Danio rerio: one gene and its partners. The main gene of each other region encodes a partner of the protein of the gene in region 4 in a complex. Links are inferred from orthologs where the notes say so. Each region holds a gene or a part of one and is shown on either strand. Other genes may lie near its edges.

What was found.
Region 1: plrg1 (region 4) and srrm1 share a complex: the UniProt entries of both Homo sapiens proteins name them as parts of the minor spliceosome. The link is inferred for Danio rerio from reciprocal best matches to the Homo sapiens genes PLRG1 and SRRM1.
Region 2: plrg1 (region 4) and bcas2 share a complex: the UniProt entries of both Homo sapiens proteins name them as parts of the PRP19-CDC5L splicing complex. The link is inferred for Danio rerio from reciprocal best matches to the Homo sapiens genes PLRG1 and BCAS2.
Region 3: plrg1 (region 4) and rnf113a share a complex: the UniProt entries of both Homo sapiens proteins name them as parts of the minor spliceosome. The link is inferred for Danio rerio from reciprocal best matches to the Homo sapiens genes PLRG1 and RNF113A.

Annotation. Positions count from the first base shown.
Region 1 is NC_133192.1:26,834,279-26,836,879, forward strand, and holds the end of srrm1 (serine/arginine repetitive matrix protein 1), read left to right. Parts: intron 1-1,276; coding exon 1,277-1,387; 3' UTR 1,388-2,088; downstream 2,089-2,601. UniProt on the Homo sapiens protein: Part of pre- and post-splicing multiprotein mRNP complexes. As a component of the minor spliceosome, involved in the splicing of U12-type introns in pre-mRNAs. Involved in numerous pre-mRNA processing events.
Region 2 is NC_133183.1:12,579,600-12,582,440, forward strand, and holds the end of bcas2 (pre-mRNA-splicing factor SPF27), read right to left. Parts: intron 1,953-2,841; coding exon 1,902-1,952; intron 1,207-1,901; coding exon 1,126-1,206; intron 1,041-1,125; coding exon 914-1,040; 3' UTR 538-913; downstream 1-537. UniProt on the Homo sapiens protein: Required for pre-mRNA splicing as component of the activated spliceosome. Component of the PRP19-CDC5L complex that forms an integral part of the spliceosome and is required for activating pre-mRNA splicing.
Region 3 is NC_133178.1:30,712,647-30,716,703, reverse strand, and holds the start of rnf113a (E3 ubiquitin-protein ligase RNF113A), read left to right. Parts: upstream 1-1,257; 5' UTR 1,258-1,259; coding exon 1,260-1,365; intron 1,366-1,509; coding exon 1,510-1,586; intron 1,587-1,670; coding exon 1,671-1,769; intron 1,770-1,964; coding exon 1,965-2,072; intron 2,073-2,907; coding exon 2,908-3,017; intron 3,018-4,057. Other genes in the region: snrnp70 (U1 small nuclear ribonucleoprotein 70 kDa), read right to left, coding at 1-73. UniProt on the Homo sapiens protein: Required for pre-mRNA splicing as component of the spliceosome. As a component of the minor spliceosome, involved in the splicing of U12-type introns in pre-mRNAs. E3 ubiquitin-protein ligase that catalyzes the transfer of ubiquitin onto target proteins.
Region 4 is NC_133176.1:27,252,596-27,256,195, forward strand, and holds part of plrg1 (pleiotropic regulator 1), read left to right. Parts: intron 1-671; coding exon 672-808; intron 809-931; coding exon 932-985; intron 986-1,090; coding exon 1,091-1,184; intron 1,185-2,200; coding exon 2,201-2,291; intron 2,292-3,600. UniProt on the Homo sapiens protein: Involved in pre-mRNA splicing as component of the spliceosome. Component of the PRP19-CDC5L complex that forms an integral part of the spliceosome and is required for activating pre-mRNA splicing.

The DNA of each region.
Region 1 (2,601 bases), on a different chromosome or scaffold from region 4:
TGTAAATATCTATGACTGTTACCCATCTAATGTTGGAATCCAACGTTGCTGTTTTCGGATAAATGATGTGACCCAGCTGTAAAGATGTTCATTACTGTAAATATCAACACTGTCAGACTTGCTCAGTGCACTAGGCTAGAGTAATCTTTCAGGTGCCAGCCATTTGAGTACACTGAACTCATTGTCATGTTCAAGAAAGCAGTCTGAGATGGTTCGTGCTTTGACATGGCGTGTTATCCTGCTGGAAGTAGCCATACAAAGATGGGTACACTGTGGTCATAAAGGAATGTACATGGTTAGCAACAATACTCGGGTAGGCTGTGGCGTTAACACCATGCTCAATTGGTACCAATGGGCATAAAGTGTGCCTAGAAATTATCCCCCGCACCATTATACCACGACCACGAGCCTGATCCATTGATACAAGGCAAGATAAATCTATGGTTTCATGTTGTTGACACCAATGTCTGACACTATCATCTGACTGTTGCAGCAGAAATCAAGACTCTTCAGACCAGGCAACATTTCTCTAATCTTTTATTGTCCAATTTTGGTGAAACTCTGCGAATTGTAGCCTCAGTTTCCTGTTCTTAGCTGACAGGACACCCGGTGTGGTCTTCTGCTGCTGTAGCCCATCTGCCTCAAGGTTCGATGTGTTCAGAGATGCTCTTCTGCATACATCGGTTGTACCGAGTGGTTATTTGAGTTACTGTTGCCTTTCAGCTGGAACCAGTCTGGCCATTCTCCTCTGACCTGTGGCATCAACAATTCATTTGCGCTCACAGAACTGCCGCTCAGTGGAACCATAGAGGTGGTTGTGTGTGAAAATCCCAGTAGATCAGCAGTTTCTGAAAAACTCAGACTAGCCCATCTGGCACCAACAACCATGGCATTTTCAAAGGCACTTAAATCTTCTTTCTTCCCCATTCTGATGCACAGTTTTAACTGCAGCAGATTGTCTTGACCATGTCAACACGCCTAAATGCATTGAGTTGCTGCCATGTCATTGGCTGATTAGAATTTTGCAATGAGTATTTGGATGTGTACCTAATAAAGTGGCTGGGGAGTGTATGTTAGTACTTTATGCATTTTTTTATGGGGGGGGGGGGGGGGGATTATTTAAATCGTAAATTTGAGTTTTTGTGAAAATCAGGGATTTTTTAAAATGGCCATATCACCCAGCCCTAATTTACGAGTTAGGTATTGTCTCTAATGTAAAATCTAAATATACTACTTATGTTTGAGTCAGACATAATTAATGCTACCTTTCTTGAAGGAATCAGAGAGTGAAGTAGAAGACAGTTTGGATGATCTGGAGAAGCACCTACGTGAGAAAGCTCTCCGCTCAATGAGGAAGGCCCAGATGTCTCCATCGTCTCAGTCCTGAGGGCATCTCTCCTGCACCCCACATTTCCCTTTTTCTCTTCCACTCTCTGCATTTTAAATGTTTGATGTTGGTTCAGCTTTAGAATGTACAAATTGTTAAAATTCACCCTAGACTTTTTTTTTTTTCATTTGTTTTGGAATTGTTTTTTTATTTTTATTTTGGCATGTTTATTGCTGAAGTGTTTTATGATATAGAAATGAGTGAGCAGCTGAAGTTTCTCCATCAGATTTTGACCCTTACCACTTAAATACTGTCAAGAAGAAATGTTCCAAACAAAACTTTTTTTAGTCCCCACACCCCTCACCTTCTGTGTTGCTTTTACAGTCATGATGAAAAAAAAATGAAAAGCTTATTTGCCGTTCTGAGTTAATAATGTACGAGTTAGCCTATAGATTCTCTCTTAACCTTCGCGGGACTTTTTTCGAGAGTTTTGTTTGCATGGACGGCAGACCCCAGCGTGTTTGTCCTCTTGTGTGCATGATCCATAAAGTAAAACTGCTCTCTCTGTTCATCTGAGCATTGTGGCAGTGCTTGAGAGCTCCACTGTACACATGAGAACAAATCCGAAGTCTGTTTTCATCTCTCTCTTTTTTTTTGTTGCTTATTTTTTGTAACCTAAGTTGTGTTTGACATTGTTGGACCCTGCAGAAATGTCTGACTTTGAAGAAAGTCACATTAAATTGAAAGAAAAATGTCTCAAATTCCTTTTTTAAGTTGCATTATTGTGCATATCTGCAGTTTGTTTTGTTTCACTTTCAATGATCATGAATGTAAATGACAGACTCGTCCAGCATGCTAACAATGTGGACAGCATTACATTTAGGATGCAAAAAAACTGTTTTGCATATGTTTGCTAGTCCCTTTTTACTGGGTTCTTTGGAAAGCCTGTAGTGTCCCAGGTCTGGTAATGACACATGATAATCAAGTGCTGTTCATGTTGTTGTTTTTTCCCTTTTAGCACCATGTGAAATCTTCACTAGCCACAGATGAAAGCTCAGTGAGTTTGTAAAGGTGTAATGCGGTTAATAATGGCTGATCTGGAAAATCAGCCTAAGGCAGCAATGTTTTGCCTTGGTTGTTATTTTATAATGCCACCTGCTTCTGGCTGCAGGCATCTGTGGGAATACATGGGTGGTAAACATGCAGTCTGTCTTTATACTGTCCCTAGAGGTCAGGCTAAGTGCTGGAAAGCTTTGTTTCTGGATCAGCTGTGC
Region 2 (2,841 bases), on a different chromosome or scaffold from region 4:
AGTCTTGTCACCTATCCAAGTTTTAGGAACAACAAACAATAACTTGACTTCTAGCTGATCATTTGGTATCAGAAGTGGCTTATATGAAAGTCAAAGGCCTCTAGATTACACTTATTTTTACCAAAATACAATATGATAATTCCTTGATTTTTAATTATTTAATTAGGACAGGAAGGGTTTGACTTAGCTTAGACAAAAGTCTAGTCACTTAACAGCAATAACGTCCAGTATAGAATATAAAGTCATGGTGTAGTGGAAAAAGAATGAATATTGTTTTTGATTCCCATGAGCTTGGAGGACTGCATTCATTCATCTCTCCAAAGCCTCAAATAAGTTTATTAATAAATCATCTGGGATGTCAAAGAAAGCATTCTTGCAGGACTCCCAGAGTTCATCAAGATTCTTTGGATTCATCTTTAATGCCTCCTCCATCGTACCCCAGATATGCTCAATAATGTTCATATCTGGGGACTGGGCTGGCCAATCATGGGAGCCAAAAAAAGTCTGTGTTTGTGCACAGAGAAAATGAACATGTCATTATTTCATCATTTTATTGTGTATTTCTTAAAAACATTACAAATAGAGTTAAACAGGAAAATGAACTTATCGTCTATCATAAGACACAAAATTATTATAAAATGAAAAAAAAACGACAGCCCCTAAAGCTTTGGAAAACACCTTTAAGCAAACACAAATGTGAGTTGTGGAATTCCAGAGACAGTGTGCAGTTCATGATTTTGGGAAAGCATATTTTCTGTATGCACTACAACACTATAGCTCACTTGTGTTTTAAAGGCTATTTTCCTATATTATTTATTTGTTTGACAGGAAAAAAAACTAAGCTATTTAAAATAAAAAAGCTGAATATCAGACGTTGCGGAACATTTACTTTTGCAAAGTCTGTGCATGGTGTTCAAAAGTCCTGTCTAATGTTCTCCTTGTTCTCGTCGCCCTGCTGCTGCTTCATCTGCGCCACTTCATTCTCCAGCTGCACGATGGCGCGCTCGATCTCATAGTTCTTACTGACGAGAGACACCCAGCTGTGAAAACACGAGCAGAAATATGTGAGTCAACGAACTGACTACGACATTTTCTGGAACGAGTTGAACATAATGCAGTACTGACTTGGACTCAAGTTCTCTCAGTTTGGCTCCTCCAGCCAGCTGATCGTTTTTGCGCTGCCAGTTCAGGTCTTGTATTTCCTTTCTAAAAGAAAAACAAACACACTTAGGTTGAGTTAGAGTAGAGATTTATTATTTTTGAATCCATTCAGCCGATCTCTGCTGCGTAATATCATTGTGCAAGCTGCCAGACATGGTACCGCAGTAAAATGTCTTGATTATTACACCTTAATCAGAGTATTGTTCCCAGATATATGAGAATATCTCAACTTTTCATTTTCTGTTGGTCCAACTACATCACAGGTGTCAAACTCAGTTCCTGGAGGGCCACAGCGCTGCAGTTTAGCTTTAACCCTAATTGAACACACCTGATCAAACTAGTTGAGTCCTTCAAGCTTATTTGAAATCTAAAGGCTTGTTGAAACAGGGTTGGGAATAAGTGCAGAGCTGTGGCCCTCTAGGAATTGAGTTTGACATCCCTGAAGCACATGATAAAACTACAAAAGAGTCAAGCGTTAAATAGGAAAATGAACTAATCTCTTTGGTCATTTGAGCGAGATGCTAATGGTCTAATCCGATTCAATAATCTATGCTAAGCTAAGCTAAAAGTGCTCCCTCCAGACCAGAAGATTATCAGAATGGATTAAAACTCAACTGTTGAACTCTAGGAGGATTATTTTTAAATAGAGTGCTCCTTAAATATTACATTTGGAAGTCAATTAAACCACACATACAACATCCAAATAGTAAGTAAACTTAATAGACAGATAATGTGCTTACCTTACATTCTGCAGCTCTTTTTGTGAATTTTCAATCATCAAGGCCAAGTTACTGTGTCACAGAAAAGACGACCAGTTATGATCAGCATAATGAATAAAAGAGTAATATGTGCCTCTACCTGTTAAAATGATTGATGACTTACAGCCCTGCCTCTTCTAGGGCGGGATTTATGGTTTAAACCACACTCCTTTTAGGACAGGACTTTGTTTAAACCCCGCCCCTTTTCATGTAAACGTTGCACTTCCAGTAATTAGTTTTAAACAGTTTCATCAAATTAAATTATATATTATAATTCCGCTAATTAAATTGTAATCAAATTAATTAAATTATATTACTGCATCAATTAAATGATAGTTCCTGCAATATTCATCAAAATATTTAAATTATCACAACTGATATTATGATGTAATCAAAATAATTTATTCAATTCACCTATAGTGCATGTTTTTGGACTGTGGGGGAACCAGGGGGACCCGGAGGGAACCCACGCCAACATGGAGAGAACATGCAAACTCCACACAGAAATGCCAACTGACCCAGTCGGGGCTCACACCAGAGACCTTCCTGCTGCGAATAGACAGTGCTAACCACTGAGCTACCGTGCCACCCAGTAAACTATTAACTTAATTATATTTAATTTTGTTGTTTTGTATTATATTACAATTAATACTAATAAATATTAATACACTATATTAACACTATAAACATTTAAATTTCTGTTAAGCTGTAACTATTTTGTGTTTACCCTGTTTGTTCGATGTGTGCGTGTTAGGATGTGTGCGATGATCAGGAAAACATCCACTGACCATTTACAATACCCCAACAGCTGTTTGAGTAAGATAGATTGATATTAAATATAGATCACACATCTGTTGAGAGTGTGGTGTGTGTGTGTGTCTCCTGCTAAGTAGTATATGTTGTCAGGTGATTAGGAAGTGTG
Region 3 (4,057 bases), on a different chromosome or scaffold from region 4:
GTTGAGGCAGGAACGGTATGGGGTCCCGCGGGGCAAACAATGCCAACAGGTTCGGCGGAAGAAACTGAGTCATTGTTCACCTGGAAGAGAGAAAAAACACAAACGATAAAAAAAATAATCAACAATTAGGAGCACCTCATGCAAGTTAAGCAGTTACTGTGTGAAAATGGTAAATAAGACGTTATTTAAGATAAGGTGGATTTAAATAAGCAGACAAAATCATGCTAACAGATTCAAACTGAAAATTCAGCGTCTTCACATAGATCTGGATCAGTAAACAAACACCCCTTAAACGAGTCTCGTGAAGTTAGCTGCTAGCAGTCTTAGCTTTCTCGGTTAGCTTCGTGCAAACAAACACTTTTATTCTCCACATAATGATTAAACAAACTACAACTTCAGCATCAGATCACGTTAGTGTAGCATCAACAAAAAGAGACGCATCTAATAACTAATATCAGTGCACTCTTTAATACACAAAAATAAAGCAAAGCTCAGTCGTGGTTACGGTCAGCTCTGCTAATTCACCAACTCTCTCATGATGATCATATCCGAGATCGCCTACATTTCCACGGACGGCCTCCTGCAGTCAATTACCTCAGTTTTTCATTCGGCTCCAACGAAATCTCCGATTTTCGGGCCAAAATCCTCTTGCGTGTTTCTGTGGAAGACCTTCGTGCATGAATTTCTTTAATTCACTCGGTATTTTTGTGTGTATTTCGGTCCACACAATACCCAACGTGTGTTCTCACCCAGTTGAACGAGTCGTTCCTTTCTTAAAATGGCGCGAGGCCGTAAACCGCTGCGGTGTTTCACGACACATTTACGTCTAGTGGTACATTCACGATAGGGGCGTGGCCAGTGTGGAATTTGTACTGTAAAATATTATTTATTGTTATACAGTGTCACAAAACTTATGCTATGTTGATGTACGTATCCACAGTATCCTAACTAGACTTTACCTTTATAATGGGAAAAAATTCACTCTAAATCATAATTTTACTTTAAGTACACCATAAAATACCTTAAAACGTCTTTATCCTTAATTTTGCTCAATGCATGCATCCAAATATTGTCTGAATATTGCTAGTTACTGATTAATAATAATAGTAAAGATATGTACATTATCAATTGTTAAATGGGAATATATTCATATCAAATACAACAGCAGTAAACCATTCCCATTCTACGTTTCTTCCCAAACACAAGAGGCGCTGTAACCAAAAAATGACTTCATCGTTTGTTTTTATACGTAGTTAAAGATGGCGGAGTCCGAGGAGCCGAAAAAACCCACCTGCACATTTATTTTTAAGAAATCAAACAAGAAATTTTCCGCACGGAAAAGAAATGCAAGTGACAGCGACAAAGGTACGTTGTGCTTCTTTCTTCAGTGTCTCAATCGACAGCGAGTTTGACTTGAGAAACTATAATCCCTACAACAAGCCGTCTGTTTAATTAATGTTTATGCTCAATACATGTCTGCAGTTCAGTGTTTTGTTTCTTTATCATCAGAAAAAAGCAGCGGCGATGAGGGCAGTGCAGTGGTCAGAAAGAAGAAATCTGCCGCTGTGAACCCCATGATTCAGAAAGTATGTCCGTATTTCATGTGTTTTATGTAACTAGCCGCTGTTAAACTGATGTCATCATTATTATATTTATTATTCGTTTTATAGACGAAGAAAGTGGAGAGGGAAGCTGTCTCATCGAGTGAAAGTGAAGAAGAGAAGGAAGAAAAGAGCGTGACTGTCGCTTACAAGTCCACTCGCTCAGCGGTGAGTCTGACTGACCCAACATTTGTACAGCTTCATGATTTATGCTACAGCAAATTATGAATATAAACGCTTGATGGTGCCTAATAATTCATGACCACGTATGACTTTACATTTCTATTAACGTCTGACAGTTTTTGCGCTGTCTCATTGAAACATTAAAGGCTGTAATTGAGTGTATTTGACTATGTGTTGCAGAAACCAGAGGGGCCGGATGACATGGGGGCCACTGCTGTCTATGAGCTGGACACAGAGAGGGACAAAGATGCTCAGGCCATCTTTGAGCGCAGTCAGAAAATCCAAGAGGTATGCGGGTGATTGGAAATAACTGGCTGCATCATTGTAAAGTCAGGTTTATGTATGTTATGTACAGATTCAAAGTACCTTTACAGTTCTAGATTTAGATAACATTAAACTCAGCATTTTCAATTGTATTTACACATATTTCAAGTAGACAACAGCTCTACAGAAGGTGATATAGTAGCGTGTCATGTCATGTCAGTTCAGTTATTTAGATACCTCACTCAGTGCTTTCAAGCACAGCAGAATCAATTCATTTTAGAAAATAAATAGCCTTTATAATAGGCCTGGGCGATTTGGCCTCAAATCTAAATCTTGATTAACTAAACATTTTAACCCGATTACAACTAATGATTGATTATTTCATTTGTTTTTGCCCTCATAGTTAACTGACAGGTTTCGTAAAGTGAGAGATGTTTGAAAAGGGTGCATTACTTGATTTTAAAATAATTGAAGGAAACGCAAACTATCTACTATCTATGATTATTTATTGAACATCAGCGTTGAACAACTGAAATGAAAACACACATTGCCTAAAACCAACAGTCTTCTTTTTTTCGTTGCTCTCCGCGCTGCCCACTCTTGTCATCACTATCAAGCTGACCAACCGCAGAGCTTGCGCTACGTATCGTCAAGTAGTGACATTTTTTGAGAGGTGCGCGTCAGCCACGGCGAGGAGTATGCGATTGCTCAAAGTCTGCGCTCAATGCAGAAGAATAAACCAGCATCTAAGGAGCGGGGTCATTTCATGTCATGATATTTGATTGTTGATATTGTTAAGATGGCCAGAATATACACAATCTCTTAATCATATGGCTGCGTGTTTGTGTGTAATTTATAGGAGCTGACTGGTAAAGAAGATGATAAGATTTATCGTGGGATCAACAACTATCACAAATTCATTAAACCCAAAGATTCCACTATGGGCAATGCCTCCTCTGGCATGGTCAGGTGAGTCAGTGTTGTTACGAGTTTTTCTTTCTCTTGTTTCCTCTCCCTCTTTCCTGCACTCTCTCGGTCTGAATTATTTCCAGGTGCAGCGGATTACGGCAGATTGTGATTGGTGCTTGGATTGGCGGCTGTATTTAAGAGGCCTTTGTTTATCTTCTGAACACAAATGAAAATGTTTTAGATTAAATCTGACATCTCTCTCATCCTCCATGGACAGTGAGATTTCAAAGATGTTCAAAAGTCCAGAAACCAAAAACATTGCATGGGACTTTAGTGTTCTGATGTGTAATCATGTAGAGCTCCCAAAACACTTGTAAAAAACTGTAAATACATGAAAGAATACTTTATTTTTTGTATACATGACAGGTCAGGGTGCGCGTTTACTAGGCATGGGCCGGTATAAGATTCTGACGGTATGATAACCTTGGATAAAAATATCAGAGTTTCACAGTATTGTGATTACTGCTCAAAAATATTCTTTTAAAATGTCTGGGTAAAAAAAAAACTATTATTGTTCCCATTGAACACAATATATTTTATTTTAAGAAGCATATTTTGGAACAGTAAACATGACAGGCTAAAGAATTTATTGAAGACAGCAGAAGTCAATAGTTTCGAAAACACATATTTCTTTAAAAAAAAATGAAAAAGACATTCATCTTTCTCTTCTTTGGATATAAAGTAAGCCACAGCACTGTTCAGGTCCAGAGCATGCCTGGATGTTTTGGTGCTTAAGCATTTTGTTTTTCAGATGTTCCCTAAACCATGGGCTGACCAGTAGCTGTTGCCCTAAAAAAACTAAATAAAATAAAAAAACATGTTGTAAAAAACATGTTTAAACAATGTACATATACCACAGTGTAACAGAAAATGTTAGCGGTTTTAAAACCCTGACTTTTCCAAACCGCAGGAAACCTTGAAAGTCACATGGATTGTTTTTGGATCCTTTTCTGGACTTTGAACGTCTCTTGTCTATGGAGGATGAGGGTGCTCTCAGATTTCATGTAAAATATCTTTATTTGTGTTCCGAAAATCAAACA
Region 4 (3,600 bases):
GACTGCCCCCTGTCATTTTAAGGAATATCACAACAGCGAACACGGCAAATATAAAAGCCTCGTCTGTTTCGCGAGGTGCGCGTGCAGTCAGCGGAGGTCTGCGTTGCCAGGCAAAAGTATAAATTCTGCTTAACCCGGATGTAATTTTTGCAGTCTCCAATTTTTGTTCGCTATAGGCTTTGCTAGGCTTACTCTGTAAAAGTCAATGTTTCCCTTTGCATTGAACTTTGAGCGCATTACATCAGCTACATTACACATTAACTAAAGTTTAAAATATGATATTGTAGTGGATCACCCTTTTAATGTTTGTATAAACCTTTCTTATGCTGTAAACTCGCTTAGAATTATTCAGCAATGTTTTGCCACAAAATAAAAAAAAAACTTGATAAATACTTGGTTCTGCTTTAGTTGAATGTACTATTTACACTATTAGCAAACCATCAGCTAAGACATTTAGCTCTCTAACTACTAATTAGCTGCTTTGTAATAGTAAGGTAGTAGTTGGGTTTAGGTATTTGAGTAGGATTAGGGATGTACAATAAGATCAAACTTTATGAGTGCTAAAACATTGTAATATCTCAATAATAGAAAGCTAATAAACCAGTAGTAAATGGTGTAAATTGTTACATTAATTGTTACTTTTGTTAATGTTATTTACGTTTTGTCTGTAGCTTCAAGGTGAAGATGGCAGCAAAGATGCGGGCCGAATACAAAGCTGTCTTACACATGCCTGTGCTGAAGGAGGGCCGAGAAAAGGGTTCTCTCCACACCTCTGACCCATATGGCCAATCGGCGTACCCTCTGCCTGGTATGGCTCATAAACCAATCCTGTTGGCTTTTTCTTTATATCAGTATTTTCATTTAGTTTGTTTTTTTAATAAACCTCTCAAAGATTTCATTAACTATTAACTGTTTGACTTCATTTGTGCAGACACTACTCCAGAATATTTGGTGACAGGAACACACCCTTATCCATCTGCTCCAGGTTGAACCAGGATTTTTTTACTTATTTAGCCTAGATGCTAAACATTTCAACCAATTTATTTGAGGCCTAATAATTTTTTTTTTTTTTTTATTATTACGCTTTCAGGAGTTGTCCTCACTGCAGACACACAAATGCTGAAGATGCCCAGTGAAATGGGTGTTCACTCCATGGCCCTTGCTCTTCCTCCGTCTCAAGCTAGGTACTGAATTGTATTTCCTTATGGGTTGTTGTAGTTACTATTAAATGTTTTTAGAAAAAAAAAAATTATATATATATTTTTTGCCATAAAAAACATTTTAAAAAATTTAAAACCAGCACGACAACACTTATGCTTTTGTATTTAGGTTGCACAATTTGGCCTGAAATAATTATAATCATAGTTATTGTTATTATAAATAGTATAATTTTTTTTTTCAAACGAAAATTGTAAACAAAATAATAAATGTTATTACTGTCGAATTTGATTTAAAGTAATTGTACAGATTTCTATAATACCAATGTATGACTGTTGTAATTTCACAATGAGAAATTAAAGCTTCTCTTTGGTTGACCTCAGAAAACCAAATCATAACAAAGCATTTTTTTTTTTTTTGCGTGCATTTACATATGGTTACTTTGATTTCTAGACAGTAAGTCATGCCTGACTGTAAGTTAAGGAAAGAACCCCTTTTAAATGTTTAAAATTGAATTTAATAAATGTAATAATGTGAAATTGGTTACGAATTGGTTTATTATTAAAAAAAAGTAAAAAAAAAAAATGGATAGGTATAAACATTTATTTTATTTTCATTTCAAAATGTTGTTTTTCACCAGAATTATTTCACCCAAAAATTGCAATTGTTTTGAATTATCCTCATGTCATTCCAATTCCTTGAGGCTCTTCGAAACACAAATCAAGATATTTATATAGTATTTTAGATACATGAGAAGAACTTCTAAAAGACAGTAAGGGTCATGATGAGACATTTAAAGTCCAAAAAAAAGAAAATCAAGAATATTGTAAAATTATTTATTGTGACTTCAAAAACTGTTTTGTGTGCTAAAAAAAAGTTATTTTGACTTAGTTCACCTAAATATATTTTTGGGGAATTAGTCCGTTGACCAGCAACATCATGGACCCTGTAGTGAACCTGTATTTGGTGCTGTTAACTTGTGATCAGATCATTAAGACACATTCAAGGGTAAATTAAATCTGAGGTATTGTTTGTTTTGTAGGCAGGAAGCCAGTCGAACTGCAGCCAGTGTGGCAGAAATCCACAGACATGCAGGAGGAGCAGAGAGATCTCATCCCCCACAACATGCACTGGTCAGCAACAGATTTTACTTTTGTGTGTTCAGGTTTAACATGTATTATTAATGTTATGTGCTATAGTTAATGTATTAGTTTAGTTAGGGTTTGTATTTAGATGTAATTGTGTTACAGCCTCCAGGCTTGAATAAAGTAACAAAACCAAATAAAGATCCAAACCAGAAAATCAATTTAATTAAAATATAATCAATTAATAATTAAAAAGTCACTATTGTGGGGGAATAAAATGACCTTCCATGCAGTGTGCAACACAGCTCTTAGTGAATGAAAATATCCAGCTGATTTTTAATAAAAGATTCGACTCGGGAGTCATTTAAATGATTTGTCGTTCATCTGGATCTTTTTCCTGTTCGTATCGATGTTGACAAAATATAACCTTTTGTTATGGATAATATGGGCTCTTTAATTGAAATGATTCATAAATGTAAAGAAAAGAAACTAAAATTTCAAAGCTGAAGAGGGAAGGATCAACTTCTGCAGTCCAATTTTCTGGGTCTTTATCTAAACGCACATCACAAGCAACACTGTTTATATATATATATATATATATATATATATATATATATATATATATATATATATATATATATATATATATATATATATATATATAAAAAACAACAATAACTATGATTATAATATATATAATATAATAATATATTGTAAAAAATTAAATTTATACTTTTTATAATAACAATAATTATATATATATATATATATATATATATATATATATATATATATATATATATATATATATATATATATATATACTTTTTTTTAAATTTACAATCAATTTAAAGTTATTTTAAAATAGTTTTTTGTAAACTAATTAATCATTTTTATTTTCTTTTTTTTACTTTAGTTTTTATAATTTCAATGCTAATTAACTAAGCGCAAAACTGGAATATCCCATATAAGACATACGAATAAAGCAGCGTTTCCATCCAAGTAGTCAAAGAGAACAAAGTTGTCACTTCCTGATTAACTGGTGCCAAATATCAACAGTAAAAATGGAATTTGTTGCGGTAGGAGAAGCTGCATCAATTTTTTCCTTATTTAATAAATTACTTGCGCCTTAGAAGACAGTATGCCGATTCGCAGTGAATGTGCGGAGGCGTTTAAAGCCGTGAGACGCTGAGCACAGACGCTCTTGATAGTTCTTTAGGTCATTAATTGTATAATAACACTAATACTGAAACGTTTAAGGTGTTTTAGAATGACCAAAACAACATTTTATATGTTTTACAATGTGCTGAGCCTGCTGGTTTGTCCATTTACACACATTTTTATCATCACATGATCC